Linked DNA regions of Saccharomyces cerevisiae S288C. The gene in region 2 interacts genetically with the main gene of each other region. Each region holds a gene or a part of one and is shown on either strand. Other genes may lie near its edges.

The links.
Region 1: of YHC3 (region 2) and HSP30, changing one enhances a phenotype caused by changing the other (phenotypic enhancement), as found in Saccharomyces cerevisiae (one study listed by BioGRID).

The regions. Positions count from the first base shown.
Region 1 is NC_001135.5:155,516-159,183, forward strand, and holds HSP30 (Hsp30p), read right to left. Parts: upstream 1,593-3,668; coding exon 594-1,592; downstream 1-593. Other genes in the region: HTL1 (Htl1p), read left to right, coding at 1-41; YCR022C (uncharacterized protein), read right to left, coding at 1,906-2,250; YCR023C (uncharacterized protein), read right to left, coding at 3,023-3,668. UniProt on the Saccharomyces cerevisiae protein: Probably cooperates with other heat shock proteins in the translocation of polypeptides through membranes. It may counteract the altering effect of heat shock on the plasma membrane.
Region 2 is NC_001142.9:322,645-326,577, reverse strand, and holds YHC3 (amino acid transporter YHC3), read right to left. Parts: upstream 1,615-3,933; coding exon 388-1,614; downstream 1-387. Other genes in the region: BIT61 (Bit61p), read left to right, coding at 1-336; BNA3 (kynurenine--oxoglutarate transaminase), read right to left, coding at 1,858-3,192. UniProt on the Saccharomyces cerevisiae protein: Plays a role in vacuolar arginine transport. Involved in pH homeostasis. May be involved in ion homeostasis together with IST2. Not necessary for mitochondrial function or ATP synthase degradation.

The DNA.
Region 1 (3,668 bases), on a different chromosome or scaffold from region 2:
AAAAAATGCTCGATGCTTTGAAAAATGAAAGGAAAAAGTAGGAAAACGCAACATTCACAATTGTAAGCTACAAAATATTGAATGTGAATCCTGCTTCATTACAAATGAAGAATTTCAAAGCGTATCTAGTTCACCAAAAGTCACAATATCTTATTATTATTTGGAAGCTTTTATATGCATCTAATGGTCATAAATCCCATCTCACTTTATAAAACAAGTTACCGCGAATGTATCCAGTGATACAGAATAGAGTGTAACAAATGAGAATAAAAATACCATATTATCGTTTAATTTTGGTAGGGTACGCTAAAATAAAGTGGTGTTTGCGTCTCCATATAACTAAAAAGAATTGAAATGGCCTACTATCGATTAGACTATTCAGGCATGGAAGCAGTAAGAACATTTCTTGATTTTGGAAAAATGAGATTAGATTATTAATTATTGTGTTTGTGTATATAATTTATTTTGCATATTTCATAAAGAAATTAAAATTAGATTATTAAATATTAAGTTTCATTAGTGACATTAAAAGAAGAAAACTGATGTTTTGAAATGTGTTAAGCAAAGAATGATTAAGACAATCTCAAGCTGCTCTAAGCAGTATCTTCGACAGCTTGCTCTGCTTCAGGTTCGGGTTCGTGGATTGCAGTCTCTCCAGATGCTCTTGGGCTCTCTGGAACAGCTTCTTTTGTTTCAGGAGCCGCATCTTCCACATCGTCCGTAGCATGGTGATGAGAGAATCCTCCTGTCAAAGATAGCCTTGGCAATTTGCCATCACGGCTGACTGCAATTAGCAAGTAACATGGATAAATGGCAAATACACATAAATCCAAAACACCATAAAAGATAGCCTCACCGTCTGGTTGAATACGGTTACCACCATCACTTAGACCCCAACAGATAAAGTACAACCAAACGATTACCATGCAGGTACACAGCATAAGTGCATTGAACCCTCTAGTTTTCAAATTGAAGAATTGACGTTGGCATATCACACCTTGGGTAACCAACATAGCGACAGCACCAATGGTGTAATAACCCCACTTGTAGGTGGACTTGATCAATGAACCAACTAATAGCGAAACAACCCAGAATAAGGTACCCACGATTTGAATTAACAGCGAATGTACCATATCCAAGGCGGAAATGTCGTCATTCTCACCAGTAGTACTAGCGGCTAACTCGATTAAAAATAAAAGGCATGGCCAGGACAAGAACCAGGCAATATATTTCGAGTAAAAGATTTGTCTAATACCGGGAACTTCACCTGTGATAGACTTGCTAACCTTGACGTGGTTAAATTCAGCTTGAACACCAGTCCAACCTAAATCAGAAGCATAAGTGAAGAAAGCAAAAAATTCAAAGAAAGTGATCAAAAATGCAGGAGCTAAGGCATATCTAGTCAATCTGGAGCCCTTGTTCTCCGCAATGAAGAACATCACAACATAGCATAGCAATATAAAGCCAAAGACTGCAAACACTGCCCATAACCAATCCGAACCTCTCTTGGTAATGTGCATATCCAGGCCATGTGGTGGATTAAGCCCTAAAGCCTCGTTACGATTTAAAAAGCTTGATAGCGTATCGTTCATTTGAAATTTGTTGTTTTTAGTAATCAAAAGATATTAAAGTCTCAAACTTGTTGTTTTGTTTTTGTAATTATAAATAATAATAATTGAGTTAATATTTGTTGTTGTGTTGTATTGCAGAATGTAAAAACAAGAAACAAGATTAGAAAGTGAATAGGTGTTACGCTAAATAATTGAAGACTCTCACAGACTTATATATGATTTTTTTAGTGTGATACAACTTGTAATGAGGTAAGGGATTGATATTATACTTTCTAACTGATGATGAATATGAAAACTTTGGCCAATTAGGGAGAGGAAAGTTTTCGATGAGATGCTAGAAAAAAACTTGTCCTTGCCATAGCAGAAAGGGATGATGAAATAACGAAGATGAGCTAATTTGGTATTCGAATAAACATGCAGGATGTGGCGGAAGGGATCGGAATAAGAGTCGGGATCGGGATCGGGATATGGCTTTGCTTACTTTAGCCATACCAAATATTCTTACAAAGCACGCTTTCGATGCGTTTTTGCCTTCTGAGAGAATCCTCCTACGGCTCGACCCTTGAAAAATTCTAGAGGATCTGGAAAATGGCCAACAAAATCGCGCAGGGAGACGCAAGGAAAGTAAGTCAGATGGATCCGACTGTATGTAACAAGGGTTGCTGCAGCGGTTTTCCATCCCTTTCGGCACCCTGCACAAGTAGTTATTCTTACTTATGCAAAACGGATATGAGCTACATAGCGTTCATTTTTTAGGTTTTCAGAAGCTATTACAACGCAGTAAAAAGGATACACAACTTTCTTACGGGGAAGAAGAATACGGCTCAATGCACCCACTTCAACCCCCGGTATCACGCGGCACTAAAGTTGTTTGATTGTAATAGTAATACTGCTGTTGAGGTTTTCTTCTTCAGGGCTGCTCACAACGTGATATATTTGAATTGACAGGACGTATTCAGCGCAGTTGAGGAAAATTAACATATGACATGCGCAGGAAATAAGTGCTCAAGTTTTCTACTTTTGAAGAAAGGACTTTGGTTTACTTGCCTACTATCTCCATGTCAAGTACTCGGTTGTATGATGTTAAGGAGCGCAGGGAACACTAATCGATAAAAAACCCTTATTGGCTATTACTAAATGTAACGGCCGTGCTCTAGTGAAATTTGTATAGAAAAATGGGTTCTCTCGCTCAAAATGGGCGCCATTACTTGTCTGGTCAAATTGAGTTCCTGGATATAATTACATAAACGGATTGAAATTTACATAAGGAGTATAATAATTCCGGAAACTATCTTGAGTGCAATGCCATCACGCGGCCATGCCTTGACATAACATGCTCTCATCAAAAAGGTGCAAATTTTCGCCAGTTATGGTTGATATCTAAAATCTACTGGAGTTCATTTTTTTTTTTATTAGATATCCTTTTTGCAAGCCTTCTGAAAAAAAATTTCTCATGTGGTACAGCGTTGGTTACTTAAGCTGCTTAAACTAGATCGATGAGCCATTCTTAAATCAGAAGACTGTGACTGCGAATTGTAGGCATCTTCACTACCCTGTCCATGAAGCTCATTTTCGTTATCATCAATTGGTGCTATCTTATAACTTTGATAAAGAGCTACCATACAAAAAAGACTTAACGACCACCAACTGACCCAGGCGACGTCATTTTGCTGGGACCAAGACATAATATAGCCCCATACTAAGGGACCTATGAAACGAGCAGAGGCAGAAATACTAATGGTGGCGCCATTGATGACTGATCTACAACTCAAGGGACTCGAATTATGAATTAATAACATAATTTGTGGTGACGTTAAAGCGCCACAAAATGTTTTTATCCCTGTGATTATGTACAAGTAGACGACAGTATACCAGCTAGGAATCCGTTCATTCTGTAGAAAAACAACGTAAGGAACCATAACGTACATAATAGGGTACAGCTTGACTAAAGTTCTGAAAATTGTTAAACAATCGAAATTTCGATCAACTATGGGAAAAATGAAAATAACCACAAAACAACCAAAGATACCTGTTGTCGACAAAAGAGTACCGGTTTGTTCTGGTTCATAACCTATACCGCCAGATATTTTCCACGGA
Region 2 (3,933 bases):
CAGAGTATCAGAGAAGATGGTAATTCTACGGTTTTAAAGTCAGGCAATGAAAGTCGGACTCACATTAATGGTAATTATTCTATTGGGTTTCTTTTGCTTATGTGCTTTAGAGATTCAATAGTCTTACCTTGTTATGAAAACTTCGTAAATAGTAACGATGGTATCAGCAAAAGTTTTCAACTTTACATTTTCAATCAAGAAGAAGAAAGTAATGTCACAGAAACAGATAAATTGACATTACTGCAGTGTTTTGGCATATTGAGTACCATTCAAAGTAATGATAGAAATCAACGAATTATCGAAGAGTTATTAGCAGGCATTAGAATGAGTATATAGAAAGCATCTAACACTTTATTTCAATCTCCTATTTAATATCACAACAAAACTTTATTCCATCCTACACCAAGGTCTGTCATCGGCAATTTGATGCCTACAAAGTTTGGGTTCTAGCCCCAAACCAAGTAACGCAGCCAAAAAAACGCCAAAGGAATCAGCGATGGACACAGCACCCATGGCGAACTCTGTTTCATCAGGATCCTCTTGTTCGAGAATATTTAAGAATGTGTTAACATATGACGCACCACCAAGAAAACCCTCATAGAATATTAATATCATCACCGCCCAGGGCGAATGTGTGACATAAAACCATGATTGCAGTACCGTTATGCACAAATTCACACCTTGTAAAAACGCTAAGATGTATAAACTCCTCATTCTCATAAGATGTCCAAAGGATCTTGATATAAAGACACCTAATTGGTAGAGCGTTCCATAGGTTACGTATATATCTCTGTATTTATGGAAGAAAAATGGCATCGATTTACTTCTTTCATCACCATTAATCGGAAATAATAGGGTCGGAGCTACCGCTTGGTTTATTAAATATTCGAATAAGTAGACGGTGGTCAATGGAACCATGTATGGAAAAACCAATCTTCGAAGTCTCTTGACCGTTTGCAAAATGTGCTGTCTTGTAGAATACAGGGATTGCGAAGCGTTGGTATGTGTAAAGGCGACAGGAAAGGGCACCAACTGGTCATCCTCTGCTTCGTCAATTTGTTGAAGACTTTGGTAAGTCAGGTTGGTATCATTGGATTCTAATTTAAAATAAAACAAAAATGCAAATGGAAGGAGACTAAATACTAGTAAAGTTAGCTTCACTGGAACTTTAAAGATTGAAGTTAAGAACATATAAGATGCTCCGCCAATGATTCCTGCACCACCAGTACCTGACGACCATCCATTCAAAGAAATTTGTTTGTAATAGTGTGTTAGCTGTAGGAATGTCACTTCTCCAAATCCGGAAGATATAGATGCGAAAGATATTCCTAAAAGACAAACAAACAAGTTTTTAAAAGAAACTAAGAACATTCCTAAGCAACTCATCGTGATCAAAGACCATATTCTATAGCTGTACTTGATTCTATCAATAAAGAATGGGGAACACAATTTAATGGCGAGTGATGGGAATATATCTGCTAGCAATACTAGAGATTTAGGCAAGGTAGGACCCACGATATCAACAGCTGCTGAAAGTATTACCACATAAAGTACATTATTGATCAAACCAAAGAGCCAAAAGTAGCAATATATCTGATGAGATTTGTCACTCATTTATATTTACTTGCGCTATATCTTCATATGTGTTTAAGTACTCTATAAATACACTGTTCAAAACATTACTAAATGTTCATATTGTCTATTTTTCATTAAGGGTTCACTTTTTCTTGTAGTACGCGAAGAAAATATGGAATTATTCTGGAATATTGATGTTTATATTTACCACTTCTGCATAAAAATATACATGCTTTATAAAATCTATATATTGAGAAAAAGGAGTATAAAAAAAAATTTATCTTATAAGTAGTCCTTGAGTAGTTTTAATCTCTCTACGGCATTTTCTAGATAAGCATCATCTTTACAAACTGCAAACCTTAACAAATTCTCAGCAGCCTTTTCGTGCTCTTTGATATAGAATTCAGTTGGTGGAATGGCAACCACACCTAATTCATTGATCAACCAGTGAGAAATGCGAAAATCTTTTCCCTTATTCAGGATCTCCTCTGGGTAGGGATAGTCCTCGGGAATTTTCACTTTAGAGAAATCAACGAGGACAAAATATGTACCCTCTGGAGCTGTATATGGTAGTCCCAATTCATCAAAGATCGATGTGAAAATTTTGAATTTGTTGATATATTCCTGTCTCATTTTTTCAAAATACCCAATTTTTAAAGCGTCGTTAATAGAGTTTGCACAAGCTTCCTGTAGAGGGGATGGAGATGCAAAACAAATTCTTGTATGTGCCTTAGCTGCATAACTTAACAACTCTGCGTTCAAGGATAAGACCCAACCAATTCTCCAACCAGTAGCAGCAAACGATTTACCGGCAGAACCGACCGTTAAGGTTAGTTGCCCAATTTCTGGAGAGAGTGTGGCAATTCTAGTGAAAGAATCAGTGAAGTAAAGGTGTTCATAGACTTCATCAGATATAATCACAACGTTGTGCTTGACGCAAATGTTACCTAAAGTGGTTAATTCCTCGCGCGTGAAAACTTTACCAATTGGGTTGTGAGGGGTATTGATAATGACAGCTTTTGTCTTGGATGTAATCGCTTTTTCGAACTGCTCAAAGTCAATGGTCCATTCTTCACCTCTAGTATTCCTTTGATCCAATTCCTTTGGAGGATTTATGGGGACGTAAACAACTTTACCACCGCAAAGTTCGATATTTGGAATATATTGGTCAAAGAAAGGTTCAAAAACAATAACCTCGTCGCCAGCGTTCAAAAGCCCCATCAAGCAAGAAAGTATACCTTCATTGGCACCTGTTGTTACGGTAACATTTTCCGCTTTCAATTCTGTGTTATAAATAGGAGAATACAACTTAATCAAGGAATTAATTAATGAAGGTCGACCTCTAGTTGGAGAATATTGATTGACCATTGGAATGTCTAGGGCTTTCTGAGCCTCCTTAATGGCGAATTGAGGAGGGGAATATGAAAAAAAGCCTTGGCCTAAATTAATAAGTTCACGGCCTTGGTTTTTGGAGTTATTGGCAGCTTTTGCAGCGGCTTCATTGGTTAGCGACCAAACATCTTTGGCAGTGTTAGAAGTGAAATATTTGTTGGCAACAACTTTCGGTCTCGAAGTAGACATTAGGTTCGTAAATTGACGAATGAATCGTTGTTTCATTGAGAGCAAGTAACAATGGATTCTATACGCAATTATAGTAAATTGAACACTTTATATATATCTCTATCGTACCTTCCCCTTTTAAACATGACTGAATTTTGGTATCTTGATTGTCATAATGACAACAAAAAAGCCACAGTTCTACGTCACGTGCTAGACACGACATGCTACTGAAGAAATTGTTATCAAATGAAAAGATACATTTATGTAATAACCACTACCAGGCACTTGCTAAAAAGAATCTACGTAAGAACTACATAAAGGTTAGCTTGTGCGCCAGAAAGTGATATCAAAGTTTTATGAACGCTGAACAATTTTGAGCCAGTAATTATCTTGGCATAGGAGACGATAAATGCCATCGTTCTTTTAAAGAGCTTATTAAGTTATTAACTCTCTTCGATTAGACATTCTCTTATCAAACGAGTTACGTTACATTTAGGAATAATGCGACAAAGATGGAGGTCTTGATTCCTAAATCCTACTCAAAACAATCTGCTCTACTGTCAAAATCCTTGCTCCGTAAATTGATTTCGTTGTCAGACGCTCACCGTACAAGAAGTTTGTGGGTATTTACATCGTAAGAAAAGTGCAACCAGATTCAATATTGAATTACCTGAGCGGTGTCTTCCTATATTAAAATGACGATTTTGTTTTTCTTTGTATTGTGAGGGTAGCAGATTCGTCTTCTGCACTTTTCATCTACTATTGCAAAGCCTAATACAAATACAGTTGTTGAATATA